4 linked regions of the Elephas maximus indicus genome follow. The protein of the gene in region 1 purifies or fractionates together with the protein of each later gene. This does not show direct contact. Links are inferred from orthologs where the notes say so. Each region holds a gene or a part of one and is shown in the gene's direction. Other genes may lie near its edges.

Region 1 (6,898 bases):
CAGAAATCAATAACAATAAGGTATCTAGAAATTTCCCAAATATTTTGAAATGATATAATGCATTTTAAAATAATCCAAAATTTAAAGAATGAATACCAAGTCATATTACAAACAATAAAAACACACAATACAAAACTTACAAAGTATAGCAAAAAGTGAGGCTTAAGGTAAAAAAATACTATTATTTTGAATAAACATATGAAAATATAATTGAAGAATAGCATCAGTGATATAAATTTCCACCTTACAACACTGGAAAAAAATGAGAGCAAAGCAAACAATAAGTAAATATAGAAACAACAAAATTATTAGCAAAAACCAATGCACAGCAAAGCAGACAAAAGGAAAGAATACGAACAGTGAGTAGGTTCTTAAAAAGATTAACAGACCCAGTAAGTCACTGATAAGACTAATCGAGAAAAGTAAAAGGGAAACACCACCAATAACTAGTATCAGAAATGAAAAGGGGATAATTGTACAGATTCTACAGATACTAAATGAATAGTAAAACATCATTAAAAACTTATGACATTTGATAACTTAGAACCAAATGGGCAAATTGCTTGTACAACACAATTTATTAAAACTGTTACAGAAAGAAATACCTTTGTGCATTGCTGGTGGGAATGCTATTTTCTATTTTTCTGATAATAGCCATCCAAGTGAGTACGATTAGAAGGGACCAGTCCCTGGAGGACATCATAATTGGTAGAGGGTCAGTGAAACAGAGGAAAACTCTCAAGGAGATGGCATGACACAGGGGCAGCAACGATGGGCTCAAGCATAGCAATGGTTGTGAGCATGGCACAGGATTGGGCAATGTTTCGTTCTGTTGCACACAGGGTGGCTATGAGTCAGAAGAAACTCCACAAAACCTAACAACAACAGTGGGTGTGAAGTTTTCATTTGCCTGGAAATATTACCAGGCAGGACTACCTGATGCCGTTACCAGATAAAGACACTAGAAGAAAATTAAAAGTCAATGACCCTCATGAGCATAAGTGCAAAAAGATTTGCCAAAATATTAAAACATTAAATACATCAATATGTAAAAAAGGTTAACAAACCAAAACCACCACTACCGTTGAGTCAATTCTGACTCATAGCAACCCTGTAGGACAGAGTAGAACTGCCCTATTGAGTTTCCAAGGCTATGATCTTTACAGAAGCTGACAGACACATCTTTTTACTGCGGAGCAACTGGTAGGTTTGAACTGTCAACCTTTCAGTTAACAGCCGAGCACTTTAACAACTACACTACCAGGGCTCCAACAAAGTTTAATACAGCATAAAAAGTGTATTTTATCACAAGAATACAAGATTAGTTTCAACATTCAAAACTCAATCATCTTACCCATTTCCTCCTGAAAAAGAAACTGAATTTCCTGAGAAGGTAAAAAGAGGCCCATTGTGAAGGTGGCTGATGGCTAGAAATGAGTAAATCAACCCGGCCAGGTCAGGCTCACGCACTAACAGGTTTTGTTCTGGCCCTTAGGAATAAGAAAGCGGAGAAGGGTTTTTAATTTGACTATACCTCAAACGGTTTCCCGTTCCATTTTTTTTCTGAGTCTACAGACCTTACCACTGTATCTTTTAGCCCTGGGCCTAATACGACGTTAAAGGGTTTGATTGCTATTTTTTTTGTGAAATTGTTCTGTTGTTTGCTTTTCTCTTTAATATACTTCTGGCATCTTCTAGACTGATAAGTTAGGACATCAAGCTGATTGAGACTTTTCCTGAGGACTTTCGGTGTCCTAGTGGAATAGTACTTAGGATGGTAACAGGTCACGCAGATATATCCAGACATCTTTTTCCCACATTAGGCATTCTCTCATTTCCTACTTATAAGTAATGAGCTCGTATCATTACAACAATAAAGTCTTGCAAATTATGGAAGAGCCTCTAGAAGGGTTGAGGGCTAAATAAATTCTTTTTATCTGTATGATGGCCCAAATCACCAATTAATTGGTCACTACCTGAAAGTTTTTTACCTGAAAGTCTAGATGACTGCCTCCTTCCCCCTCCCCTGTTTCTCATTTATTTGGTCCATCTACTAAAATTCCAGCTTAGCAGTATACTTTTGGGAGCATTGCTCTGACTTCGCTCCATTTGGACTGATAATTTGTGTTTGTCTGCTGGAGTACCAACACAGGGTAGCACTCTACATAAGTTAGTTTCTAGAAAATAAACAAGAAAATGTTCTGAATCATGGTCATTCCTGCCTTGTTTCATCTACCCCCTAACCTCTGGGTTGAGGCCCTATTGATTTTCCCTAATGTCTCTCTCAACCCTTTACCTTAATACCAGCTCAATGCATTCACACAGGCAGGAAAGTAAGGTCTATAAAAGTGAATCATGAACACCATAGGTGCTCTGGCAGTCACTCAAGATCCTGCTTGCTTCACTATGGCCTACTTCCTCTGGCTTATTCAGATAGTTTCCAAATCCAAACTTCAACTCTGTCCTCCATGATAGTAGTTTAGATTAACCCAATTAGCTTTATTTTTCCCTTCAGACAACCTCAGGCCATCTACCAAATTTAACTGGACTTTGAGAACCTCTTTCCAGTCATGACCTCATCCCTCTTGCAGATCAACTAGAGGGTTAGCACAATACCATCTGTTGATTAGTGCTACATTTTTGACATCTCAGGACTTAAGTTCTCCAGCCAAATAACCCATTATCATTGAGTCAATTTCAACTTATAGTGATCCTATAGAACAGAGTAGAACTTCCCCATAGGGTTTCCAAGGCTGTAATCATTTCATTTCTGAAACTGACTGCCACATCTTTCTCCTGTGGAGTGGAGTGCCTGGTGGGTTCGAACTGTGCTTAACAACTGTGCCACTGGGGCTCCTTAAGTTCTCCAAAGTGACTCCATTATCCTCAACGGAAAAAAAAAAGCATTGCAGAAAAAATGTTAATCGGGTCCTCAACCCTCCCAGAGGCTCAATGCTCTCGCAGAATTTGCAAGGCTTCGATGTGATCCTGTTATTCACTTGTTTTGGGGAAAAATTCAGAAAGGCAAGAGTAATCATGAAGTTGAATCATAGAATAATGGATCCTAGTCAGAGTCAGAAAACCCTGGTGGCATAGAGGCTAAGAGCTACCGCTGCTAACCAAAAGGTCAGCAGTTTGAATCCACCACATGCTCCTTGGAAACCCTATGGGGCAGTTCTACTCTGTCCTATAGGGTTGTTTAGTCATACTCAAGAAGGAGCCCCTGGGCAGTGCAAACAGTAAGGCCTGGTAATCTGCTTCTGAAAAGTCACAACATTGAACCCTGTGGAGCAGCTCTACTCTGCACACATGGGGTTGCCATGAGTTGGAATTGACTTAACAGCAACTACCAGCAAGTCATAATCAATAGGGCCACTAGTGCACAATTCATTTCTAAATACTCTAGGAAGAATTGACATATTCACAATGATTTTATACCCCTGCTAGGCTCCAGGTTTGTCAGCTGCTAATTACTGTGAGAATGTGTCACTTACTATTGAAGCCACAACGAACTTGATAGCTGATCGGCCTCCATTAAGGAGATGCAGTCAAGTACTGGTAGCCACAGATTCCTCTTCTAAGAACTTCTCCTGCCACTACCACTGTGTGAACAGGAAAGGAGGGAGAATTCACTGGCTGCCTCACTTTCTCCTTTTATATTTCAGCCTCCTTCAAGAGACTTTGGTTTCTACTAACCCATATGTAAGCCTGCTAGATAAAAAGTTCAGATAATGGCACCCCTTTCAGCTACTGGTATCTGTTTAAAAAAAAAAAAAAGCATAACTTTGCACTAGTTTTTCATACTGAAACTAAGTTGTTTACAGGAAAGAGACTTCATTTGTCCTGACTGAGGAAATCGAAACTTAAGAACATGTTGGGAGGAGTTTCAAAATTTTTTCATAGATGAATAACTTCTCTCCCCTTGGGAGTTACTGAAGTAGGAGATAGCCAGAACTAGCTATGTTTTTAAGAGACTGTAACTAGTGCTATTTTTCCTCGTTATCTTTCAAAATAGTTCAGTTTCTTCACTTTTTTGTGAGATTATAACATCCTACATTCAGCTTCTGGAGAGCTTTCCTGATTTATTTCCTAGCTTAGAAGACATACAGTAATTCTTGTATTTCTGACAAAGATTTCAGGATCTGGACTACCGTGGAAGAAGTTTCCAGGGAGGTGAGTACTCTGAGGAATTCTGTGAAGATCTGGGGACCTACTTAGTAAACATGTTACCGCAAATCGCGGGTTCAAGCTGCCTGCTGCAAAGCCAATACTGAGACAGGGGAGGTAAGCAGTAAGAGGGCTTTATTGAATATCGGTATTCAAGAGACAGAGGGGGTTAAATATCACCCAAATTCTGCCTAATTCTGAAGAGCTAGTGGGAGAGTTTTACAGGGGAAAGGTCAGGGTTACCTGATGTTTTGATCACGCAGTCCACAGATGGTCTTATACATCACAAAACAACTACAAGAAACTCTTTATTAAACTAAAGATATGCCTGTGAGACATCTGGACTCTAATTAGTATATTTGTAACAGGCTTAAAAAAAAATCACATAAGAATCTCTCGGCTAGTGGAACTCTCCTGCCAAGTCCACTCTGGCTGAGATAGGGAGCAAGAAAGACAGTTGTAGATTAAAAATGTCAGGCATCTTTTCTAGCTGCCATCTTATAGGCTGAAGCCCATTTCTCAAGAGAACAGAGAAGAGAGACCAAGGCCACAGGAGCTAAGAGAGCTCGGCACCCCTTTGGAAGAGACCGGTGCAGATGGTGTAATAAAAAAATGTTTTTAGAAATTACTTAAAGCATCATTATGGTGCTAGTTATATCAAGTTCTGAATCACCCATTGTGAATCGGAGAAAACATGTTATAAGGTATTAGGGTGTTTACTAAGAGTGGAACAGGCTGCTCAGCCATATCTTGAACAGAACCCGTGTCATTTTCTAAAGACTAGAGAGGAATCACAGCTTATGCACCTATACTAAAACAAACAAGAATATGTATTCTCTCTAATATTAAAACACTGGAGAAATACTATTTTCTCTACTTCAAACACACAAAGGGAGATTACTTACAGAGAGTCTTCTAGGGGAAAAAGTACTGATATTAACTATATTCAGAAAAGTAAAAAAAGGCAATAGCTTTATTTTAATCTAGGCAAACAATGGACTTATTTTATTCTACCACAACTGAAGACTGAAGAAAGAGGAATGCATTTTGAGTATAGTAGGTTTAGAATCATTTCCCTGGGTATACATGCACGTGAGTTGATATTTAGAGGAGAGCTAGGTTTTCTTCACTGGAGGGCGAGGAGGAAAATTGGTAGCAGTGTTGGGGGCCAAGGTTAAAGACAAGATAGTGGCATGAGAAAAGTATCATGAAGTAATATTAAATTTAAAGAAATCTGGACATAAAGTTGCATTATATGGCATTATTCCAATTTTATAAAACATGGAAACACACATACATAGTAGAAAAAATTCTGATTTTCCCAAGCATGTCATTAAAATACATGGTGTCTTAATGTTTTCATAAGTATGTTTAACTTTTATTTTAGCTCCATTCTATACCAAGTGTTAGAAGCATTGTTTGTCTTTTTGGGATAGTCCCTGCTTTCTTCAAAGTCACAGATAAACTTTGTTGATGGGAGTTTGTAGGGGAGGAAAAAAAAAATTTTTTTTTTTTTTTTTTAGGTAGGGTAAATTGCATGTATGTCTGAATTCCTATATATAAAATTCCTGTATAGCCTGGGAAAAAATATTTCATTTGTGTTTGAGAGGAATAAGTTTTATAAGTTTTGAAATACTGGTTTCAGAATTCCCCAAATGTTAGAAAGTCTTGTTATTTAAGCTTGCCAATTGTGTTGATCAATATTTTTTTTTCAGTATTTGCTGTTTCTTTACTCTGCTCTGTAATTGAGATAAGCTGAAATTTCAAAATGTGATTACCATTCTGTCAGTTTTTTCTGGTATATTTTCAACTTTCTGTAAATATACATAAATATATGACTATAAATGTAGGAAAAAGAAGAGCTAGAGAAGAGACAAACTTTTTATACTAATATAAAGTAATAATAAAGAGTATACTTTTGTTATTTACAGGAAATGAATATTTAGAACTATTATATTTTACTGGGACTTTGACATTTATCATTTTAGTTGCCAAAGGAGAGAAAACCAAAATTAAAAAAATATTTGAAGAAATAATGGGATAAAGTTTTTGGAATTAAACTAACGTGAACCACCTCAGATAGATCAGGCCAATACAGTGCCAATTAGGAGAGTGGAGAAAAAATCCACAAGACACAATGTAGCCAAACTGAAGACTCTCAGAAAGGAAGCCAATCATCTGAAAGCTTCTAGAGAAAAAGGGCATAACCTTCTACTAGTTTTCTTTGTAGAGCAAAACAAGCTACTCTTATGGCCTAAGGTCTATTTAAAGCTTCTCTGATACAAAGTGCTCTCACTGAATTACTGTTTGCATAATAACACGTTTTCCAACTTTTTTTTTTTAGCTTTTGAATGACCTTTTGTCTACCACATATAAGCTTTTTTTAAAAATCCAATTAGAAAAATTTTGTCTCATAACAGATTTAATCCATTATCTGTTCTGTTGATTGCTGTTTTTTTAAATAGTTTCTGCCATTCTAATTTATTTCAGTTTGTAACACTTACTCTATGCTTCCTTCCCCTTCTTCTTCAGTTTTTGTTTTTTTTTTCCTTTCCTGTCTCTATTTTCTCCATGAGGAAAAAGTAACTTAATAAACACGCTATCCACTTGTTTCCTTCTCTCCACCCAACCATGTTCTTGTTTTGTTTCTCTTTGTTCCGGGTTTGTTGCTTTACAAGGCATTGACAGACTTAAGTTAGTTGTTCACTTTTGCCTACCTTTGACCCTGCAG
Region 2 (7,769 bases), about 160 Mb from region 1:
TGGCCACAGGGATGTGGCCTGTGTAGGGGGATGTGGCAGTGACATAGTGAACGTGGAGGGAACACTGTAGGCAGAGAAGATGCTGCGGGCATGAGAATGTGGTAAGAATATACAAAAAGATAACAAACACGTGTGGGGACATGGTAGGCACATGCACAGGAAACAGATATGGGTTGGGGGCATGGAGGAAATATGAGGGAACATGGTAGGGATGTGGTGGGAACATAGTAAGCACAAGTGGGGATGTGGTGGTCACAGGAGGAAATATGCATTAGGAGATGTGGTGGAGACATGGCGGGTGTAAGCAGGGATGTGGTAAACGAGGGATGAAGATGAGATGAATACGTAGAAGGAACATTGTGGGCACATTTGGGGAGATGACAGGTGTAGGTGGTGACATGGTGGTCACAGAAGGATATGCTGCAGGTGTGGGGATGTAGTGTGGATGCAGCGGAGATGTGTTGGGCACGGGCGTACCCACAGCAAAGAGCACCGGGCCAGCGCCCTCACAGCGGCGCGGCCGCGTGCGGCTGGTTCCCAGGACGCCCCTCTGTTCCGGCAGCAGATGGAACTTGAGGGCCTCAATGAGCAGATCCTTGCAGTCCGGGTGATGCCGCACCAGGCCCTCTGCATCCACATGGCCCAGGAGGAAGTCGCGGCTCAGCAAGGGCAGCCGCACACACTTCATCAGCTGGGGTGGGGGGGGTGCCAGGTCAGGCAGGACCAGGGGACCCACATCTCGGTGCTTGGGTCCTCCTGAGAGCTCCCACATCCCTCCTCAGCCATGACACCACCCGGACACATGGGGGCTGGCATCAGGGGCCCTGATCATGGGACCCTCCCCATCTACAGGGTACTGGGCACACCTGGCTCTCAGCCACCTGTGTCCCTTCCCAGCCGGCAGAAGCCTAGGGCCAGCCTCACCCGAGGGACGTGCTGCCTCCGTGCGTCCACGTCGTGCTTGACCCAGCTCAGGACAGCGCGGTAGACGTCCTCCTCGGAGGGCACGTTCAGGCTGTCGCTGGAGACCAGCTCCAGCACCTGGGGGTGGGGTCTCAGGCTAGGCCAGGTTGGGGGAGGAGGTGGGGAGCCCTGAGGGTGCCCAGGACAGAGAATCTGCCCAGCCAGGGGCCCAGTGTTCCTGGGGGGGGGGTCAAGCAGGGCGTGGAGCCTCAGGTCCAGCTCCCCGGGGCCCACGGACTAGGGATGCAGGCAGAGATGGGGGTTGGGATAGGGCTGGAAGTCAAAGGGGAGGGTTTGGGCTTAGGGTGGGGTCTGAGGCTAGGGGTCAGGGCTGGCCGGTGGTGTTACCTGCTTCAGCGGCAGCAGCATGAACTCCTCAGTCTTGGCCACGTCCACGAAGTGCTGCAGCACGTACCTGTGGGCAGCCTTTAGCAGGTCGCTGCAGGAGTGTGTGTCGGCAAAGCCCCTGATGCCCAGGCAGTTGGATGGGTCAAGCTGACTCAGCAGGAACTTGCAGCATGCATCTCGGACGCCGTTCAGCTGCAGGAGACTGGCGGCTGGGAGCAGAGTCTGTGGGCACAGGAACAGGGAGAAGGTGAGAGAAAGGACTGGGAGGCCAGGGCCATGAGACAGGGGACAGAGTGGGAAGAGGGGCTTGGGCCACAGGCCAGGGGATGGGATGGAAGCGGGGACTGGGGCCACAAGACATGGGACGGGGGAGGTCAGGGCCACAGGACAGGGATGAGGGGAGACGGGGGGATGTGGGGAAAGGCACGGGGGGTACAAGAGGTACAAGGGGGACGTGGGGATTGGGACAAGGTATCTCAGCAACACAAAGGGCTAGTGACGTCACCTGCACGTTGCCCTCGCCCACCACGATTTCAGCCGTGTACGCAAACTGCACCAGCTGGTCCAGGGCCTGTGGGTCGATGTCATGCAGCGTCACATGCGTCTGACGGCTCTCGCTCATCTCATCTATGGGGACAGTGGATCAGGCCCGTCCTCTCCCTGGGAGACCTGCGGATGCCCCCCAGCCCCCAAACTATGGGCTGTGCACTTACTCGTGAACATGGCATGGAAGTAGGGGCTGCAGGAGGCCAGCACAACCTTGTGCGCTCGGATCTCCTTGGTGGCCACGTGCAGGACAATGTCACACAGAAGGCCACGCTGCCTCATGCGGCTCATGGCCACAAATGCATCATGATAGTGCCGCTTGGAGTTGTGGGCCACACTGTGGCCCTCGCGGCTCAGCAGCTGCATTGCCCCCTCCATAGGGGCCGCAGGCCAGGGCTGCCGGGGACGTGCTCGCTCTGCCTCAGGGCTGTGGGGGGTGGCTGGTCAGGGAGCTGCCCATGGCCTCGCCACGTCTGGGCAAAGCCCTCAGTGGCCCAAGCCTCAGTCAGCCCCTCACAACCCACCCTGCTCCCTTCCCCATCTCCCACCACCTCCCAGCCCTGTGTCAGGCCTGGCCCCTACCTGCCCAGCTCTGCTCTTCGTGTCCAGGAGCCTCCCTGGAGCCCAAGCAGGACCCTGCCTCACACCTTCTCTTGGCACACAGCCAAACCAAAGTCCCTCATGGACCTGGTGCCCTGATAGCTGAGCTACACAGCTCCCTCTGACCAGGTCCCATCTGGGCACCAGGCCTCCTTGGCCCAGAGTACCCTACAATAACCAGGCTCCCTTGATGCTCCTTGGGACTCTTTGTTCTCTGTTGGCCACCCTTTCCATCCCCATCAGCCCACGGTTCCCTCAGGATAGGAGTCTGTCCCCCTCCACACCGGCCAAGCGCACTGGGGATGCATGCAGGGTAAAGGTGGCCAGTGTTCCCTCAGCCACTCCCTGAACTGGACCCCTTCCACCCACACTGCACCCGCATCCTGCGCATGGGTTGCCTGAGTCTCCGTGTGCCGTGCCGCTGGGGTTCAAGGACAGCCAGGAGGCGACAGAGCCTCTGGGGATGGCCACTCAGGACGCCTGTCCAAACCCGCCCAGTTCGCGGATGAATGGAAGGGTGGGGGCTCAGGTGTGCCGATACCGGGTGTGAGAATCCGGTAGAGCGGAGAGAGCAGTGGTAGGATGGAGTGGGAGCAGTGGGAGATGCGGAACCTCCACAGAACCGGGTCTGCGGGCGCGGGGCCTCCAAAGTCGGGTCGGAGCCTTGGCTGGCACCGCCCCCCCCCCAGCCGGGCCTCGAGGACCGCGCCTGGGCACCCTCACGGCCACGCTGGTCCTCTCCCTCTTCCGCCGCCCTAGAGACTTCCTTTGGCCACTCCGGTGCCCTAGACCCTCAGTGTCCCCTCACGGCCACCCCCGTGCCCCTGGCCCGTCACGACCACCTCCCGGCCTCCCGAACCACTCACGCCGGCGGCTGCGGTGGAGGCGGCGGCGGCGGCGCCTCGGGCCCGGGCCCTGGGCTGCCGTGCTCTGGACTCTGTGTCCTGCCAGCCGGGCGCTCGCTGCGCGGCTGCATGGGCTCGGCCGTCGGACCCGCCGGACCTGCAGACGATCCAACCGACGCGCGGATGCTGGAGGACTGCTCGGCGGTGGCGGCTAGCTCCCCGCTTGCTTTCGCCGCCCGCCCGCAGCGCTCTGTTTCTCGGCGCCGCCCGCCCCGCCTTCCGGCTCCCCGGCCGCTTCGGAGACGCAACGTGGGACCCGGGTCATCCCGATGTCCTGGAGCAGGTGTCCTGCCTGCCACCTCCTCCTCCTTCAGGAGGTCCCCGGGCAGGACCTGAACCGACCAGGACCTCCTCCGGAGGCAACCCTGGACAGGCCCTGAGCCAGCTCACGGCCGTCCCCTCCTGCTAGCCCCTAGGCTTTCCAAATCCTTCTAAGTACCAGGCCTCGCTCTGGGCGCTGGCAGCCTGGGATGGAGAGGGCGTATGGGAGAGACCTGCCCTGGGCTTGACCTGCACACCCCCGGGCCTGTGAGCTAGCCCGTCGTGGGGTCTAGCACATCCGGGCGGCTCGCGTCTCTCCTTCTCTCCCTAGGGCCACTTTCGGTCCTCCGGGCCTTTGCATCTGCTGTTGGGGCAGACAAGGAAAAGAAAAAGCGGCCATTCCCGTCCAGCCCCGTCCAGCTGGGGCTCAAGTGGTTGAGGACGGGCGCGCGCTGTGGGCAGCCCACGGACCTGTCCTCCGCGCTGCATAGCACAGTCCGTCGGTCGCCTCCTGTGCCGCTGCACCAGGCGCCTCACACGGGCGTGGCCTGGCTTTAGGGCAGCATTTTTTGGTGATCTGTCTGTTTACTACACCGCCGTCTGTTTCCCTTGTTTTTCGTACGGGATCTCTGGATTTTCATTATTGATTTGTGAAAGCTCTTTGTATATTACCGCCTTTGCCGCACCTCTCCCGCCCCGGGTGTCACTCATCGACGCGCAGCACTCGGGGGCAGGTGCTTCCGGAGCCCTGGGCAGGCGGCTGGGGGGGGAAGGTGGGCGCCCGGGCTGTCGACCCGGGGACGGCACCACCGTTACCGCCTCTGACAGAGTTGTGAGAGGCACGTTAGGGTTCGACCCAGGCGGTCCGGCGGTCTGAGGCCCCGCAACCCGCACTAAACGGATGCGTGCGTGTGCGGAGACTGAACCGCGTCCCCGGGCGACCCCGGAGAGTCCCAGCCCCTTGCCGCGAGACCGACTGGATCAGGGAAGCGAATGTGCCCGCCTGCCTCTAGCCCGCCGGCGCCAAGGTCGGAGAACCTCAGAGTCAATCACGGGGCGGGGCGGGGCGGGGCGGAGTCTGGGGGCGGGGTGGGAGGGAGGAAGTGCGGCAACGCATTGCATTCTGGGCCCGGAAGCGGGGTACACGCTGCGGGTTAGCTGTCATGGCGGCGGCACTGAGTCGGAAAAGGTGAGTTTGAGCGGCCGAGGGCCTGTCGGGCTACCGGCGGCTGCGGGTATCCAAAGGGGTTCTCCTCGCCCCTGTCCGTGCTCCTGGGGCAACGGGGCTGGGGCGAGCCGGGATGGTGGACGGCTGTGACTGCGACGTCGTGACCCACAGGCGCCTGGAGGAGCTGACGGTGGATGAGTTCCTAGCCTCGGGCTTTGATTCCGACTCCGAATCGGAGCCCGAGGGCGCCCCCGGAGCGGAGGCGCGGACGGTGCACGGAGCTGCCCGGAATCCGCATGGGCCAGGCGGGAGCTCCTCTGCCAGGTGAGCGCGGCGCCTCCCACTGAACGTGCGTAGGGACCTCTTCGCCCAGATCCGCCTCGCCTCTGGGATGCTAACCTCCGCTGGGTCCTCGGGGCTGAGGCCCAGGGGCCTCTGATTCCTATCCTAAATTTTTTTAGTTTTTTGTGTTATTGTTTAGTATATGTTGTTTTTGCGTACTTTGTTAAGTTGTATTTTGAGTGGACGATATACGCTATTGTACTGTACAAAGATTCTGGTTTTCGGTATTTTTTTTTTAGTTTTAAGATGGGCTAATTCATAGTGTGTTAGGAGAAAGAAGTGTTTTGGAGTGAAAGAAATAAAGAGAAGGGTTTAGAGTAATTAAAGGGAGGTTGGGAAGAGGAGTCACGTTGTTTTAAATGAAAAAGGTAATTTGACGACAAGATAGATTGACACAGTGACTGTAACAAAGGGCCGAAGTATAACAACGGTTGTGAAGATGGCACAGGACCGGGGTGTGTTCCATTTTGTTGTACAGAAGGTCGCTGTGAGTCAGAACTGACTCGATAGCAGGTAATGACAATGATATTTTAGAAGGTGATGTTTAAACACAGACTTGAATGAGTAAGTTTTGTAGGCAGAAGGAAAAGAGTCTTAGTGTTTTAGGTGGAGGGAACAGCAACGGCCCTGAAATAGGAGTGTGTTTTATATGTTTGAGGACAGCGAGGGGTGAATGTAGCAGAGGGAGTGAGAGGGAGAGTAGTAGAAATGAGACCCGAGAAGTGACAAGGGGCCAGATCTTAGGCTATTGTCAGGCCTGCCGGTAAAATAGGAAGTTATTTTGGGGTTTTGAGCAGAAAAGTAACATCACGTAACATGTAGCACCAGGGTTCCTTGGGTGCTGTCCTGGGAGTGGAAGCAGGGAAACCAGCTTGGAGGCTGCTGTAGTAGCTGAGGAGTGCTGGTGGTTGAGTTAGGGTGAGGACAGAGCAGGTGCAAGAGAGAGACTTAAGGACAGCCCAGGCGTTTTCACCGGACCACCTGGAGGGACAAAGTTAACAACAGTTGAAGTAGAGTAGAGTCCAGGCAGAATGAATTCAGGGAGACCATGAGTTCAGGACACGAGCGTGTGGGTTGAATACGGCGTCAGAGTGCACGTGCGGAGGTGTTGAAAGGCCACTGGATGTGTGATTCTGGAGTTCTGGAGACAGACAGGTCAGCTGAACTCTTCCTGGCTTTGTATCCCTGGAAGTAGCCCTTCTCTCGGGTTGTCTGTAGCTGCTGTGAGGGAACAAACAGACCTACCCCTGTAATTTCTCAGGAGACCAGCAAGCAGGCAGTGTGGTAGGGACAGGAAGCCCCGCAACTGGCTCTGCCTACCCACTGGGGTTGCTGACCTGTCTTCTTAGCCGGCGGAAAGGCTGTGCCTCTGAGCACAAGGACCAGCTGTCTCGGCTGAAGGACAAGGACCCGGAGTTCTACAAGTTCCTGCAGGAGAACGACCAGAGCCTGCTGAACTTCAGCGAGTCGGACAGTTCTGAGGATGAAGAGGAGCAGTTGCACTCCCTGCCCAACATGCTGGAGGTGAGGGGGCCAGGCAGAACTGGGCGGGCGGGGGGGGAGTCACCTGTGGTCGTTATGCCCTGCCCTACCTTGGCTCTTCTGTGTCTGTGCAGGAAGCAAGTGAGGAGGAAGAGGAGGATGGAGCAGGGGCTGGGGACAAAGTCCCCAGGGGACTGCAGGGGAAGAGGAAGGATTCGGTCCCTGTGACCCTCGCCATGGTTGAACAGTGGAAACAGGCAACGAAGGTGAGAAGTGGCGTGTGGACTAGGCCCTCTTCCCAGAGGCAGGAGTCTGCACTCGACTCCCCTCGTCAGAGGTGCCCAGTGCTGCACAGGCATCGTCTTGGGAGGACTCCTCCCTGAGGCACGGGGCAGCTCCAGCATTCCTCCTGTGTGCCAGGCAGCTCCAGGACTGTGTTTTCCCACTTGGCCTGTCCCTTCCTCTCCAGGGCTGCCTTTTCTGTCTCCTCTCGGGTTTCTGCTGCCTAAAGTTTACTGAGGGTGGGACCTGGTCTCTCTGCCTTGTCGGTCTGGGAAGTGTAGGTCCTTATGAGGGGTTCATGGTGGTCTCTGTGAGGAGACGTTGGGAAGAGAAAACCGCCCTTACCACCTGGGAGCCTGCTGTAGTCCAGGAGCCGGCATTCGAGGCCCCTGTCCTATTGAAGGGTCCTGGACTGTGGCTCAGCAACCCCGGCCCCCACCCCGCCCCTGCATCTGAGATTGTGGCTGGGCCACGGTGCCTTTCTGAGAGCAGTTCTGTCACTTTGCGTGCCTCCCTGGGTTCTCTCTCTCTTTCGCCTTTCCAGCAGCACCTCACGCCGAAGCTGTTGCATGAGATTGTTCAGGGGTTCCGAGCGGCTGTGGCCACCACCCAAGGAGACCAGGAGGGTGCCGAGGCTGGCAGGTTCCAGGTCACGGACAGCGCAGGTGAGCCTGGTGAGGGGCCCGGGACCCAGGCTCTCCATGTGTATCCTCTCCCAAGAGTAGACCCCAGTGGCCTCTGTGTTCACCCTGTCCTGTAGTGTTCAATGCTGTGGTGACCTTTTGCATCAGAGACCTCCTGGGCTGCCTCCAGAAGCTGCTGTTTGGCAAGGCCCGAAAGGACGGCACCAGGTGAGGAGGTTGGCAGTCCTT
Region 3 (7,246 bases), on another chromosome or scaffold:
CAATCAGTTTAATTAAGTGCACAGAATAGTAGCCAGTCGTGTCACTAAAAACAAAATAATTATTTTTACTTTGAGTGTGCTTTATTTTGTCCACAGGTATTCTGTTAAATAAAGCACCATAGAGAGAGAGAGAGAGAGCCAGGCCACAGCTAAAGAGGATTCCTTACAGAATCCTACTTCTTGTGGCTATTTTGTATACAAGTAAACTTAAGTTTGATAATAAGAACCAGAGGTATTGGGGGCAATCTGCCTCTATTATAAGGTGCCAAACAGGCACAGAGGACATTATATTGTACACAATAAAAATGCTGTAAGTTTAAATTTAACTTATCGGTTCTAAGGTTTGGGCTAGGACTAGGGTTAGTGTTAGGTTTACGGTTAGGTTTAAAGTTAGGTTTAGTGATATATTTAGAGCTAGAGCTAGGGTTAGGATTAGGGTTATGGTTAGGGTTTGTGTTAGTGTTAGGTGTTAAGGTTTGGGTTATGGTTAAAGTTAGGGATAAGGTTCATGCTATGACTAAAGTTAAGTTCAGTGTTAGAGTTAGGGTTTAGAATTAGGTTTAGTGTTAGGGTTAGAGTTAAGATTTGGACCCGGGCTACAGTTTGGATGTGGGTTAGGTTTATGGGTAGAATCAAGTTTTATTTTAGGGGTCGGGATTTTCATTAGGGGCAGGTTTAGGGTTTAGGACTAGGGTTAGGTTAGGGTTATGGTTAGGACTAGGGTAGTGTTAAGTTTATGGCTAGAGTTAAAGTAATATTTAAGGGAGCAATAGGACTACTGCTAGGGCTAGAGTTTGAGTTATATCTATGGCTAGACTTAGAGTTAGAACTAAGGTTAGGTTTAGAAGTAGAATTAGGGCTACCGCCCGGGCTAGTGTAAAGTTAAACTTTGGGTTAGCATTAGGGCTAGGACTGGTTTAGGGTTAGGATTAGGTCTAGGGTTAGGTTTAGGGTTAGAATTAGGGCTAGGACTTGGGCTACTGTGAGGGTAGGGTTAGGGTTAGGAATTGGGCCAAGACTAGGTCTGGGGCTTAGACTAAGGGTTAGTGTTAAGTTTAGAATTAGTGTTAGTTTTAGGGATAGAGTTAGGATTAGAGCTAGGTTTAGGGCACAGGTTAGGTTTATGGGTATAATTAGAGTTAGGGTTGGAGGTCTGGATGAATATTCATGTTCAGGGTTTGGCTAGGACTAGAGCTAGGGCTTGATCTAGGGTTAGTATTAGGGTTATGGTTAGTGTTAGGGTTTGTTACAGGTTTACTGGTAGATTTAGGGCTAGGGCTACAGTTAGGGTTGAGTTTTGGTTAGAGTTCTGAGTAGGGTTATCTTTAGTTAGTGTTAGTGTTCAGACAAGGGCCACAGCTGGAGTTAATGTCAGGGTTAGGGCTAGGGCTAGGTTTAGGATTATTTAGAATTAGGATTAAGCTCAGTTTTATTGGTAGTATTAAGGCTACTGCTATGGCTAGGGTTAGGGTTACATCTAATTTTAGATTTAGGGGTAGTAATAGGTCTAGTGCTAGGGCTAGTGTTATGGTTACAGTTAAGGTCTGGTTTATGGGCCATGGCTAGGGCTAGGGCTAGGGTTAAGGTTAGGGTTAAGGTTAGGATTAGGGTTTGGGTTAGAGTTAGGGTTTGGGTTAGGACTAGAGTTTGGGTATGGTTTAGGTTTAGGAATTGAATTGGGGTTAGGGCAAATTCTGTGTTTAAGGTAAATTTTAGGGCTAGGGCTAGGATCAAGTATATGGTTAGGGTTTGTTTTACACTTAGGTTTAGGATTAGGTTAGGGATAGGTTTAGGGGTAAGATTAGGGCTATGCCTAGAGCTAGGTTTAGGGTTAGTGTTAGTTCTTTGGTTAGCTATATAAAAAAAAAAAGCTATAGGGGTCCGATTAATGCTTGTGGTAGAGATAGTATTAGGGTTAGGGTTACCGTTAAAGTTAAGGTTAGGATTTGTTCTAGGGCTAGGCAACTTTCTTCATTACATATATTTGAATTGGTAAAACTGTACAGTGTTTTTTCAGTCAATGAATGTATTAGGAACTTTGCTTGTTTAAAAAATTAAGGCAAGGTGTAATTTGCAAAGTAAGATAACTCTCTTGACTTCATGTACTTGCATGGGAGAATATGTGTAGTAGTGTGTCAGTCAAAAAATGAGTTGGGAGCTTTCACATCCTTGCAAAACAAAATGTACTTTGAAAACCTGTATTGGCTTCATTTATTTGAATGGAATAATCCATGTATGTTTTCTTATTCAAAGAATGTATGGAGAAATTTAATGTCCTTGTTATGCAAGACGGTCTCTGGTGGCACAGTGGTTTAGTATTTGTCTGCTAACCAGAAGGTCCACATGTCCAATCCACCAGCCGTTCCTTGGAAATCCTAGGGGACAGTTCTGCTCTGTCTTATAGGGTTGCTATGAGTCAGAAGCACTCAACAGCAAAGGTTTTCTGCGTCATACACGATGTGCTTTGAAAACCGAGATAACTCTGTTGAATTCATGTGCTTCAGTGAAGAAACTTTGAGTGTTGTAACAAGGATACACTGTGTAAGTGCATGTTTTAGTTACACAGGGTGTACTTTGAAAACCAGGATAATCCTCATGACTTCAGGTACTCGAATGGAAAATCTGTGCAAAGTTTTCTCAAAGAATGTGTTGTGAACGTGCCTGTCCTTTTTACACATAATGCACTTCAGAGAACAGGGTAATTCTCTGGAGTTCATATTTCATGAGCAAACGCATGTAGTGTTTATTCAGTCAAAGAATGTGCTGGAAACTTTTTCACCCTTGTAATAAAAGATTTGCTTTGAAAACCCGGAAATGAATGGGAGAATCTGTGTAGTGCTTTCTAATCAAAGAATATATGGGGAAATTTCATGTCCCTGTCACACACAATGCATGTTGTAAATGAGGATAATGCCCTTGAAGTCATGCACTTGAATGGAAAATCTGTTTTCTCAAAGAACTTACTGTGAACTTCCCTGTCCTTGCTATAATGTATTTTGAAAACGAGGGTAACTTTCTTGACTTTGTTACCAGGTGGAAACCCCAGGTTCTGCTTGGTGTGACTGGAACTGGCCACTAAGTGAGAAAGCGAGAAGGGAAGGCAGAAAAAACCTGTTTCCTGTCAAGTCGATTGCCACTCCCAGGGACACCATAGGACAGAGTAGAACTGCCTCATAGAGTTTTCAAGGAGCGCCTGGTGGATTTGAACTACCAACCCTTTGGTTAGCAGCTGTAGCTCTTAACCACTAGCCACCAGGGTTTCCTGGCACCTTAATTTCGTTGGGCAAAGACAGGAGTCAGTCAGAGCTGTTGCTGCCAAGACTGCTTCAGAAGGGCAAGGGGAAACGTTAGTTTTAAGGGGTTTACAAGTAGGGACTTCATACAAGTTACATCAGAAACATTCTTAATCATACTACGCGGGCGCAGTGGGGCTTACTTCATGCACCACTAGGCCAAGAAGGGATTCTAATGTGTGGCGGGGCGGGGTGAGGGGGACGCCAAGCAAAGGAAACAAGATTCTAAGGCAAAGCTGTTTAAGGCTCGGCCTTAACTTCGTGTACATGAGAGGCATAATCTGTGTTGCTATGTCTCAAAGAACGTATTGGGGATTTTCCCATCTAAGTAATACAAGGTGAGCAAGTGGAGGAACAAGAGTGGGCCTGCTGTTGGCCCCAGAGCTGATGCTGCGGAATCCAAGACTAAACCCATTGCCGTGGAGCGGATTCCAACTCATAGCGACCCTGTAAGTCAGAGAAGAACTGCCCCATCGAGTTGCCAACATTTTGGTCAGCAGCGTAGCACTTAACCACTGTGCCATCAGGGTTTCTAATCGAAGACTAGAGCCCTTGTTTTCTGACACTCAATCTTGGGATATCCCATTATGCGAGTGCGGGACATGGTAGGTCTGGGGTGACAAAGGCTAAACGTGTTCATTTCGGTTTTCTGTACCGCACTAAGGAACGGCCGCACTGTCGACATTGCCTTTGGCGGGGATAAGCCGGGCGCGGCGTAGGCTCCAAGTTAGTGTAAAGACGCTGGCGCCCCGCCTCCACTGCCCAGCGACCCCCTCTGATGAGAACAGAGACTAGGCACGGCACCGCTGGGAGGCGGGGCGGGGCGGGGCGGCAAGGCGGGGCGGGCGGGGCGGCAAGGCGGGCGGGGCGGGGCGGGCGGCTAGGTGGGCGGTGCGGAGCGGCGCGGCGCGGCGCGGAGCGGGGGGCGGGCGGGGCACCGGGTGGAACATGCCATGGAGAAGTCGCTTGCGGCCACCCTCAACCAATCGCGGGTCTTATTCTTGGCTTTCCCCTGAAAGTCGTCTCTCCGCCGGAGTCCTTCTTCTGCTTCCTTGTTTCCCGCCGGGGTATAGAGGCAGTGCGTAGGGTTTATTTCCGTTTCCGTCCGTGTCCATGCGTGCCTGAGGAGCTCTAGCTGTTGTGAACCAGGTAAACGCTGCGGTTGGCGGAACCTGGGCCCTGGGGCTCTCTGGGAGGATTGGTGAGTCGCCCACCGGGTTAAGATCCTCCTTCGGTCCTCCCGCACAGTCTTTCCTTTTGAGGATCCCCTCGTAGCTCGGACTGACGCACGTTTCGTTCATGCCGGAGAAGTGCTTCGAGGTCTTGGGCGAATGGCAGAGTGAATTTATGCTGAGTCCAGACGCGAGGGGGAAGTGGCGGGAGGGGGAAGTGGAGAGGTCACTTCCCGGCGGGGGAGAGGGGGCATTCCGAGCAGGTGACGGTAGACCTGAGCTAGATTGGTGGGCTCCAAATTGTGCTTTTCCCACGAAGAAAGTCACCAGTACAAGTTGAGAACCAAAATATAAAAGAGAAGAAAATAATCTCTTAAAGTCGCCAGTGACTAGTTTAACAGCGTTCTTTGAACCCAGTTTTTCTACATCCCGGGCCAGTGTTCCTTGACGTTATCCTAAGATGTAAAAAACTAGTTATCCTAGAGTGGATCCTTACTTACGGCGACCCCATGTGTTTCAGAGTAGAACTGTGCTCAATAGGGTTTTTAGTGGCTGATTTTTTCAGAAGTAGATCCACAGACCTTTGTTCCAAGGTGCCCCAGTGGACTGGAACCTCCAACCTTTCGGTTAGCAGCCAAACACATTAACTTTTTGCACTACTCAGAGATGTAAAAAACAGAAGACCAAACCAGCTGTCTTTGAGTCGATTCTGACTCATAGCCATCCTATAGGACAGGGTAGAATTGCCTCATAGGGTTTCCAAGGAGCAGCTGGTAGATTTGAACTGCCGACCTTTTGGTTAGCAGCCATATCACTTAACCAGTGGGCCATCAGGGCTCCTACTTAGGACGTAAGAACTGTCTGTGTGTCTGTGAGAAGCCGCTGACCTATATGTGCTAATTGCAACCAGTGCAGCCTTCTGAAGTGGCAGTTTCTGATTGGCACAGATGAGATCAGTGTGTATTTCCTCTACCGGTCAGACTGTATCTGTAGCTGTCTCCTGGTACAGTGCTTAGGACATCATAACCCATTACCTTTGAGTCGATTTTGACTCATGACGATCCCATGTGTTACAAAGTAGAACTGCTCTATAGGGTTTTCTTGGCTGTGATCTTTTTTTTTAATCTTTCTAAATCATATTTATTTTTATTGTACTTTAGATGAAGTTTTACAGAACAAACTAGTTTCTCATTAAATAATTAATACAATAATGTTTTTGTGACATTGGTTGCCAACCCCACAACATGTCAACACGCTTTCCTTCTCGACCTTGGGTTCCCCATTACCAGCTTTTCTGTTCCCTCCTGACTTCTTGCCTTGCGCCTGGGCTGGTGTGCCCATTTAGTCTTGTTTTGTTTTATGGGCCTGCCTAATCTTTGGAATCAACCCGACAGCAGTGGGTTTTTAATCTTTGGCTGAAGGGTGAACCTCAGGAGTGACTTCATTACTGAGCTGTAAGGGTAGGGGGCCATACTCTTGGGGTTTCTTCAGTCTCTGTCAGGCCAGTAAGTCTGGTCTCTCTTTTTTTTTTGTGAGTTAGAATTTTGTTCTACATTTTTCTCCAGCTCTGTCCGGGACCCTCTATTGTGATCCCTGTCAGAGCAGTCAGTGGTGGTAGCGAGGAGGCACTATCTAGTTGTACTGGATTCAGTCTGGTGGAGGCTGTGGTACTTGTGGTCCATTAGTCCTTTGGACTAATCTTTGTCTCGTGTCTTTGGTTTTCTTCATTCTCCCTTGCGCCAGACTGGATGAGACCAGTGAAGTATCTTAGATGGCTGCTCACAAGCTTTTAAGAACCCAGATGCTACTCACCAAAGTAGAATGTAGAACGTTTTCTTTATAAACTACGTTATGCCAACTGAGCTAGATGTCCCCAGAGAACATGGTCCCCACAGCCCTCAGCTCAGTAATTTGTCCCCTCAAGGAGTTTGAATGTGTCTGTGGAGCTTCCATGACCTTGCCTTGGGCAAGTTGTGCTGGCTTCCCCAGTATTGTATACTGTCTTACCCTTCACCAAAGTTATCACTTATGTATTGTCTATTTAGTGTTTTTCTCTCTGCATCATTCCCCTCCCTCACAACCATCAAAGATTGTTTCTTTTTGTGTGTAAACTTTTTCATGAGTTTTTATAGTAGTGGTCTCGTACAATATTTGTCCTTTTGTAATTGACTTATTTCACTCAGCGTAATACCCTCCGGATTCATCAGTGTTTTGAGGTGCTTCACAGAGTCATCATTGTTCTTCATCCTCGCGTAGTATTCCATTGTGTGTATGTACCATAGTTGGTTTGTCCATTCATGTCTTGATGGATACCTAGGTTGTTTCCATCTTTTTGCTGTTGTGAACAGTGCTGCAGTGAACATGGGTGTGCATGTCTATTTGTGTGAGGGCTCTTATTTTTCTAGAATATATTCCTGGAGTGGGATTGCTGGGTCATATGGTATTTCTATTTCTAGCTTTTTAAGGAAGCGCTGTACTGTTTTCTAAAATGGCTGTACCATTTTGCATTCCCAGCAGCAGTGCATAAGAGTTCCAGTCTCCCCACAGCCTCTCCAACATTTATTTTCTGTTTTTTTGACTTCGTGTCTTGGCTATAATCTTTAAGGAAGCAGATTGCCAGGACTTTCTTCTGTGATGCCTGGGGTGGGTTCAAGTGGTTAAACTTTAGGTTAGTAGTCAAGTGCAAACCATTTGCGCCACCCAGGGATCTGTAATGCTAGAGAGTCATTAACATTTTTTAATTTTTTTAGTAAATTTTGAAAAATAGTTTAAGGTAGGAAA
Region 4 (7,967 bases), on another chromosome or scaffold:
CTTCCCCGTAGGGGGCTGCTCTGCTGTGAGGACAGAGACTAACACTCCTTCATTGCAATATTTCTAATCCATAGTGCCAGGATACTACATTATTCCTTGGGGTTTTCCTACAACTTGCTCATGCCTTTGTAAATATTCGTTTTATTAACCACCATCATGCCCGCCCCATACACCTCTTGTTGATTCTGACTCATAGTGACCCTACAGGACACAGCACAGGGTGTCCAAAGCTGTAGTCTTTATGAAAGGAGACTGCCGCCTCTTTCTCCTGTGGAATGGCTGACGGATTCAAACTGCTGACTGTTTGGTTAGCAGCCAGCGCTTAAACACTGAACCACCAGGGCTCCTTTCTCATGCCCCATAACTATCCTATTTTGAATGTGCTTTCTGTTTCTTACAGGGACCATGGAATTAAAAAAGATGCCAATGTATAGTCTAGGTTATATTTTTAAAAATTGGTACTTTGCTACACATAATTTTGTATACTCCTTTTTTTCCATAAGAATATATTGTGAGCATTCACCTCATAATTAAACAGACTCAAAATATGTTCTGTACAACTATTCTTATTAATCCTTATTAATAAGATTCTTATTAATAATAATTCTTGTTATGTCCTTGAATTAGCTATTAGCAGGGGAATTAATAAGGGTATAAATTTAAGGTTACAAATGCATACTGAAACTGAGCTCCAGATACAGTCCCATTAGCCACATGTAAGCATACTCAGTTGTCAGGGACTGAATTATGTCCCCCCAAAAATGTGTGTATCAACTTGCTTAGGCCATGATTCCCAGCATTCTGTGGTTGTCCTCCATTTTGTGATTATAATTTTATGTTAAAAAGGACTAGGGTGGGATTTTAACACCATCCTTACCCAGCTCACACCCCTGATCCAATGTAAAGGGAGTTTCCCTGGGGTGTGGCCTGCATCACCTTTTATCTCTCAAGAGATAAAAAGGGAAGCAAGCAGAGAGTTGGGGACCTCATACAACCAAGAAGGCAGCACCAGGAGCAAAGCGCGTCCTTTGGACCTGGGGTCCCTGTGCCTGAGAAGCTCCTCGACCAGGGGCAGATTGAGGACAAGGGCATTCTTCCAGAGCAACAGGGAGAGAAAGCCTCCCCTGGAGCTCAGGCCTTGAATTTGGACTTTCAGCCTACTTTACTGTGAGAAAATAAATTTGTTTGTTAAAGCCATCCACTTGTAGTATTTCTGTTATGGCAGCACTAGATGACTAAGACATCAGTTCACTGTCCTTACTTTCACTGCCAATACTTTACTGCATATAATGGAGCATGGGAGAGAAAAACCACTGACTGGCAAAGGGGAAGAAGTCAATTTCTTTAATCATTGACCTGACAGTGTTATACCATCAAATGAGATTAAAGTACACTAGGGTTTGATATCTAACTTCGCTAATTAGCTATATGGTCTAAACCCTTCTGAGCTTCAGCATCCTCATTTATAAAACGGGGATTAATATCTCACAGTAAAAGCAGGTAGGTATACACTTGTTTCTCTGTCCACTGTTCATCAAAAGTCATACACATCTTTAACAAGCAGAATATTAAGCTTTTGGGTTATTTTAGCAAATAATCATTTTTATTCCCCCTTTTTTGGGCTCTCTCATCACTCCTGATGATTTAAAATTACATTTTAAAGTCAGAAAGGGTCTCGGCAGTCATCTAATTCAACTTTCCCACCCAACAGAAGGGTATCTTCTAACTTCTGTCACCCAGTCTCTGTCTGAAGCACTTCCTGTCATCACAAAGCAGCTGTTTCAGTTCTGAGCACCACAACTTTGCCAGGCCAAAATCTGCTTCCCTGGAATTTCCACCTAACCTAAGACTGCCTTTTGGATCCACTCACAATGAGGCAGCTCCCTGTCCCACATGGCAGTTCTCTGAATATCTTAAGGTTTTTGTTTTTCCCCTTTAAGTTAAACTAGTGTCTCCGATCATTTTCTCCCATGAAATGAGCTCTAATCTTTCTAATGCCATGGATGCCTTCTTCTGAATGAGTTCCAATTTGCACCTGAACTCAATGAAAAACTCCAGGTTTAGCTTAGTGGTACATTCAGGACTAACAACTCCGGTCACTAGGTATTACAATTTTATCAAAAGGGCTTAATTATATGAAAGCATAAAAACTACAGTAGGTCATTTCAATATTGATGCTGATAACCAATCAACTATTTTGATCTCAGTTACTCATCTTCCTGTATTTTCCTTTTTTCTATCACCATTCATAGTCACACTGTGGGCTTTATTACTACAAAGCTCTGCTTTGACTCCTACTACAAAGCTCTGCTTCGATTCTTTAATTTAGTCCTCTCGTTCAGTCTCAATCTCTTACCTGTCACCTAAGCCCTACTCATTTCCTAATGCTCTCCCCATTTCATCAAGATTACCAGTCTTCTCAGGCACCAAGAATTCTTTCTTCAGGTATGGTCTGCTTCTTAGCACTACCTTAAACTCACAGGGTTAACCATCCTATTCCTCAATGATCATCTCAACTGTCACCTCCTCTGCTCCTAGGATATAAAACACTGCTGGAGAGAGACACGTACTCATACATGCCTGCACCTGCAGCCAAGTCTAAAATTCTTTTCTTCATGTTCAGTGGTATACCAGGGGTTCCTAGAGGTAGTATGGTCAGTGATTAAGTGCCAGAGAATTCTACAGTTAGATTGTCTCCTGGGTTAAAATCTCAGATTCATCTTTTACAAACTTGTGACTCAGGTAAGTTAGCTAACTTCTGTTATCCTCATCTGTACAATGGGGATAATGAATTCACAAGATTATTGAGAGCAGTAAATGAGATAATACAGGTAAAGCTCTTAGTTCGTTCTCTAGCTCCTAATAACGTTCAACGAATGTTCCCAAAACCACTGCCAATTCCAACTCATAGCAACCCTGTAGGATGGAGCAGAACTGCCCCATAGGGTTTCCGAGGCCTGTAAATCTTTATGGAAGCCTACTGCCACATTTTTCTCCTGTGAAGCAGATGGTAGGTTTGAACTGCTGAACTTTTGGTTAGCAGCCTAGTGCTTAACCACTGCGCCACCAGAATGTTACTCATCATAATTATTATCTGGGCATGCACTATAAACTCCATGGAAGTATATGACTTTGGGGAGGATTTTTTCTAGGAAGACACTAATTTTAGCTGATTTTCCTTTATAGAAAGCTTCTTGCCTCCTCTCCAGCTACCAAAATGCTAGTCCTTTTAATGGGGGAACTTCAAGATCTAATCTTCTATAGAATGCTTACAGATAAATATGACCATCAACAATCTATAATTTTCTTGATAGTCTACTATCCTAGTATTTTGATATTTGGATTTATTCCACTCTGCCCTTGATTTCATTTTACCTAGCATTATCTGTTTTATGTGACCAACTTTCAAGCCTGCGATTAGACTATAAGCTCCTTAAGAGCAAGAACTTCATTAGGTATTTGTGTGTCCCATACAGCAGTCCACAAATACTAACAGTACTTATCCGGTAAATTGAATTATGTAACTCTTCATGATGAACCACTGCTGCAGGTCTAATTCTCAAGGCAGAACTTAATTTGTATTAAGAATACTAGAAATTAGTTTCCAAACAAAGTTATAAAGATCATCCATGAAACTATCTTTTCCAGAATTTATGGTTGGGTTTTTTTAACTTCTAAAATGCTGTTAACTTCAATATACTTACCTCAATTAACTCAATAAGTTAAAAAAAAAAAAAGGAAACCCACAGTATTTGGATCCCGGCTACCAATTCCATCACAGCAACTTGTACCATATTATAAACGCTAAAAAAAAACCAATCAACCTTCAAGAAAATTCCATCCTAAACCTACTCCCAACAACCCGCTGAGAGTTATGCTCCACCCCTAAGTGTCTGCATTTTCCTTTCAGCAGAGCTGCCGAACACGTGTTTCAAAGTACCTCCACGGTGTGGGGTGGTGGCTAAGCCCTTAAATGTGACAATCCTTTCTTTACATCAAGCTTTGAGTCTCACATTCTACACAATGAGGATTCTTCTCAGAGTTTTCTACTCACACTTCATATCTTGGGGGGGGGTGGTGGTGGAAGAGACAGCAGCCACACACCTTTACCTCCTCCTCAAATCTAGTTCTAGGTGAGAGAGAGCAAAAGCATCTTCTCCAACGCTCTCCTCCTCACAGTACGGAAAATGCAGAACAGACCAAGGCATTCTTTTGAGTGTTTACCAATTGGTTCAGATGATGGTGCAGTCAGAGACCTCTCCCACTTCCCCAATCCCCGCCTTGTCCGCCGTCCAGCAAGGACAACGCAGTCAGGGACTCCGAGTCCGAAAGATGAGAAGAAATGAATCGCTGGAGCTAAGAGTCGGGGGCAATCCAGGAATGGGGGATGACAGCGAGGGGAAGGAGCCCGGGGTCTAAGCAGGTTCTTACCTGCGAAACGTATTTTCACGAGGTCTAGGGGATGCAGCGCGAGATTGGACAGCACCCCACCGCTCACGCCCGCCACCAGGTTCTCGTATCGGACATGGCGGAATATCGTGCTCCACGCCGAGGACCCAGTCGCCGACTGGCCCTGGCCCGTCATAGGCTCTGGACCCGCTGACACCAGGGCGCCCGGGGCCGCGGACGTGGGACGATACGCAGTGGCTGCCACCGTGGCGACGGTAGCTGCCAGGAGCAGAAACCGAGGGGTGCGAGCCCAGTTCCGTGACTGGCACGTGGTCTCCGACGCCGGGACGCGAGAGTAAAGCCCCGAGACCCGGATGCAGATGGGGCATTAGGAGACGCAGCTGCACGTGACGCTGGCGGAGAACGCAAGGGAGGCGGGACGCCTGCCTCCGCCTAGACCCCGTCCCACCTCACCGCCGGAGGCTGCAAGCCCCGGGTAAAGATCGTGGGTGAGAGCAAACAGCTGAAGGACCGCCCACTGCTAACCTTTGCCCGCGAAACTACGGAGCGCCTCAGGACCCAGCTGAGCCGCGCGCTTAGGCTCCTTGAAGTCATGTGACAGGAAGTAGTTTTGGAGAAGCGGAAGTCGAATGTGCCGGAGGAGGCGGTGGTAACAGGAACCGGGAGGCGAAGGCTCGTGGATTTGGGGAGAACGAGCCGTCAATATGAAGGTGAAGATGCTTAGCCGGAACCCGGACAACTATGTCCGCGAAACTAAGTTGGACATACAGAGAGGTGAGTCCAGTTGGTAGAGAGAAAGCTTACCGCCAGTCCCCGGGGTGTAGCCTCTGTTTTCTCAGGGTAAAGCCAGGGGGGAGGCTGGTGCTCCATTCTCATTTCTTTGTTCATCTGTGGGACTGACTAGCAGATAACTTCCCCTCAAGCCCTTTTTTAGAATTTTCTGTAGTGGTAACTGGGAAAGAGTTAACTGTGGAACGCTTTTACGTATATATGGGGGGACTCTTCCAGCTGTTGGTCTCTAATTGTTCTCGGGCTCTTATTTCTGTTGAGAAGCGGAACTTGAATGAGCCACACTCGTGGATTGAAGGGTTTAAGCGTTAAACAGGCTTCACTAAACCTCCCTACTGCTCTGATTTCTGGCCGCTTTATTACTTAAAATTAGTTATTACTGGATGTGGAATGTAAACCCTGGCGGTGTAGGGGTTAAATGCTATGACTGGAATGTAAACCCTGGCGGTGTAGTGGTTAAATGCTATGGCTGCTAACCAAAGGGTCGGCAGTTCGAATCCGCCAGGCGCTCCTTGGAAACTCTATGAGGCAGTTCTCCTCTGTCCTATAGGATCGCTATGAGTCGGAATCGACTTGACGGCCCTGGGTTTGGTTTTGGTTTTGAGTGGATGTGGAAAGAGACAAAGATGAAACCTAAAGCCACCGGTTTTCTCTTAGTAGCAACTGTTTTGAAGAAGTGTAATGAGGGAATGGTCAAAATGACATTAATTTTATTTTTCCATTCTGTCCTGTTTCCCATTAACATGCTTGTGAGACCCAAATGCCAAGGAACAAACTATGTATGAATAGAAAATTCCAAGTGAAGGGAATAACAAGTGCAGAGGCCTTAAGGGCAATGTGATCGGAGTTTAATCAGGGATAAGTGATAGAACATGAGGCTGGAACAATATGTCAATATTTTGATTGAGTAGTAGAGATTAGCAACATATATGAGCATTGCTATATAAATGTAGCCTCTGCGCACAAGATGTTGACAGATTAAGTAATCAGACAGTAATGTTTCTAAAATGAAAATTAGGCTGTCACCTTCCTGCTTAAAATTCTCTAAGGGCTTGGCAGCATCCCTCCTTGAACTGCTGGTCCCATCTTCTTCAGTTTCACCAGTCACTACTTTTCCACAAGTAGCTTTCTTTTGGAATTCCTGGGTGGCACAAATGATTAAGCCTGGGCTACTAGTAATTGAAAGGTTGGAGGCTTGAACCCACACAAAGGTGTCTTGGAAGATAGGCCTGTCACTGTGCTTCCCTAAAGTCACAGCCTTGAAAACTCTGGAGTGCAGTTCTCCTCTCACACGTGAGGTTGCCATGAGTCAGAATTGACTGGATGGCAGCTAACAACAGCTGACTTTAATTCCTGTCTATCCGAATGCTTTCCTGGTGTTCTCTTTCAGACTTCTGGCACTCACCCTTATTTACCTCAGCCCCTTCCTCTGAGAAGCTTTCTCTAAACAATCTTTCTATGTTTATCTCCTGCCACTTGTTACACTCCTCTTCTGCCATCCCTTCACATATGTATATGGGCAGTCTCCTGGTTAGGAACGTCCGACTTACAGACAATTCATACTTAAGAATGGACTGCCATAAAGCCTATTGTATTAAAAATTTGAGTTAAGTGCAGTGGTTTGTGATAACAAATGCATGCACTGCTTTGTGGCACTCAGGAAAACATTGCATGGTTTGGAAGTGTTTCTTCAGTGCTTTATATGCATAAAAAGGTAAAACATATACTGTATAGTAAGACGAACGTTTCACTAACTGACATTAAATAAAAATCGTCTGTACTTGTTCTGACTTACTTACAAATTCAACTTAAAGGCAGACTTAGGAATGGATCTCATTTGTAACCCGGGGACAGCCTCTACTTCTATCAGTATTTATCACATTGTCTGATAATTATTTTGATTATCAGTCTCTCCCATTAGACTGTGCTTGCAGAGAGAAGAAGAATCATGCCTATTTCTACCACTGTGTTTAAAAATGTACATTTGGCACATAATAGTTGTTTTATGTGCACTTGGCACATAATAGTTGCCTTATGAATGTCTGAATGAAGGCATAAATGAGTGAGTGACAGGCTGAAGAGGTAGATTGAGCCCAGATTGTAGAAGACTAGAAGGAGCTTGAAACTCATTGCATAGGTCAAACGATAGCAGGCAGGCTATTCATTGAGGTGTGTGGGGGGGGGGGAATAATTAGTACTTCAGTTCATATTCTTCATCTTAAAAAAGAAATTTGTATGATATTTGGATTGGCACTGACATCCTCATTTGGGCCATGTGGTAAATGTTATTAGTTTCAGTCAAGTAGATTCCAACTCACGGCAAACCCACGTGTGCAGAGTGTAATTGCTTCATAGGTTTTTCAAGGCCGTGACTTTCAGAAGCAGATTGCCAGGTCTGTCTTCTGAGGTGCCTCTGGGTTAAATAGTCACATATTATATATGGTACTAATGGTATCCCAAGCAGAGTGGAAAGGTTGACAAAGGCTTATATCTTTAGGATATTGTAACATACTACGTTATCAGGGATTTGCTTTATCTTAAAGTAACAGAACCTTTGTCAGTAATTTGTAAAGCGATAGAACCAAACCCAGTGCCGTCGAGTCGATTCCGACAGAGCAGAACTGCCCCATAGAGTTTCCAAGGAGCGCCTGGCGGATTCGAACTGCTGATGCTTTGGTTAGTAGCCGTAGCACTTAACCACCACACCACCAGGGTTTCCAAGTGATAGAAAGGACCATGGAAATCTTTTTTCACGCAGAAGTTCCTCA

What was found.
Region 2: the proteins of gamma-interferon-inducible protein 16-like (region 1) and NOC2L purify together in Homo sapiens (affinity purification with mass spectrometry; 3 studies listed by BioGRID and IntAct, with this or other methods). This does not show direct contact. The link is inferred for Elephas maximus indicus from reciprocal best matches to the Homo sapiens genes IFI16 and NOC2L.
Region 3: the proteins of gamma-interferon-inducible protein 16-like (region 1) and BMS1 purify together in Homo sapiens (affinity purification with mass spectrometry; 3 studies listed by BioGRID and IntAct, with this or other methods). This does not show direct contact. The link is inferred for Elephas maximus indicus from reciprocal best matches to the Homo sapiens genes IFI16 and BMS1.
Region 4: the proteins of gamma-interferon-inducible protein 16-like (region 1) and DCAF13 purify together in Homo sapiens (affinity purification with mass spectrometry; 3 studies listed by BioGRID and IntAct, with this or other methods). This does not show direct contact. The link is inferred for Elephas maximus indicus from reciprocal best matches to the Homo sapiens genes IFI16 and DCAF13.

What each region holds. Positions count from the first base shown.
Region 1 is NC_064821.1:197,360,125-197,367,022, forward strand, and holds the start of gamma-interferon-inducible protein 16-like, read left to right. Parts: upstream 1-3,896; 5' UTR 3,897-4,173; intron 4,174-6,898.
Region 2 is NC_064821.1:39,530,285-39,538,053, reverse strand, and holds the start of NOC2L (nucleolar complex protein 2 homolog), read left to right. Parts: upstream 1-4,758; 5' UTR 4,759-4,786; coding exon 4,787-4,812; intron 4,813-4,962; coding exon 4,963-5,115; intron 5,116-6,482; coding exon 6,483-6,657; intron 6,658-6,749; coding exon 6,750-6,881; intron 6,882-7,441; coding exon 7,442-7,562; intron 7,563-7,657; coding exon 7,658-7,748; intron 7,749-7,769. Other genes in the region: KLHL17 (kelch-like protein 17), read right to left, coding at 478-691, 925-1,041, 1,312-1,533, 1,817-1,938, 2,025-2,284, 3,324-3,433.
Region 3 is NC_064826.1:133,906,365-133,913,610, reverse strand, and holds the start of BMS1 (ribosome biogenesis protein BMS1 homolog), read left to right. Parts: upstream 1-4,231; 5' UTR 4,232-4,442; exon of another isoform or gene 4,443-4,494; intron 4,495-7,246. UniProt on the Homo sapiens protein: GTPase required for the synthesis of 40S ribosomal subunits and for processing of pre-ribosomal RNA (pre-rRNA) at sites A0, A1, and A2.
Region 4 is NC_064833.1:38,648,777-38,656,743, reverse strand, and holds the start of DCAF13 (DDB1- and CUL4-associated factor 13), read left to right. Parts: upstream 1-4,965; 5' UTR 4,966-5,114; coding exon 5,115-5,184; intron 5,185-7,967. Other genes in the region: SLC25A32 (mitochondrial folate transporter/carrier), read right to left, coding at 4,432-4,585. UniProt on the Homo sapiens protein: Part of the small subunit (SSU) processome, first precursor of the small eukaryotic ribosomal subunit.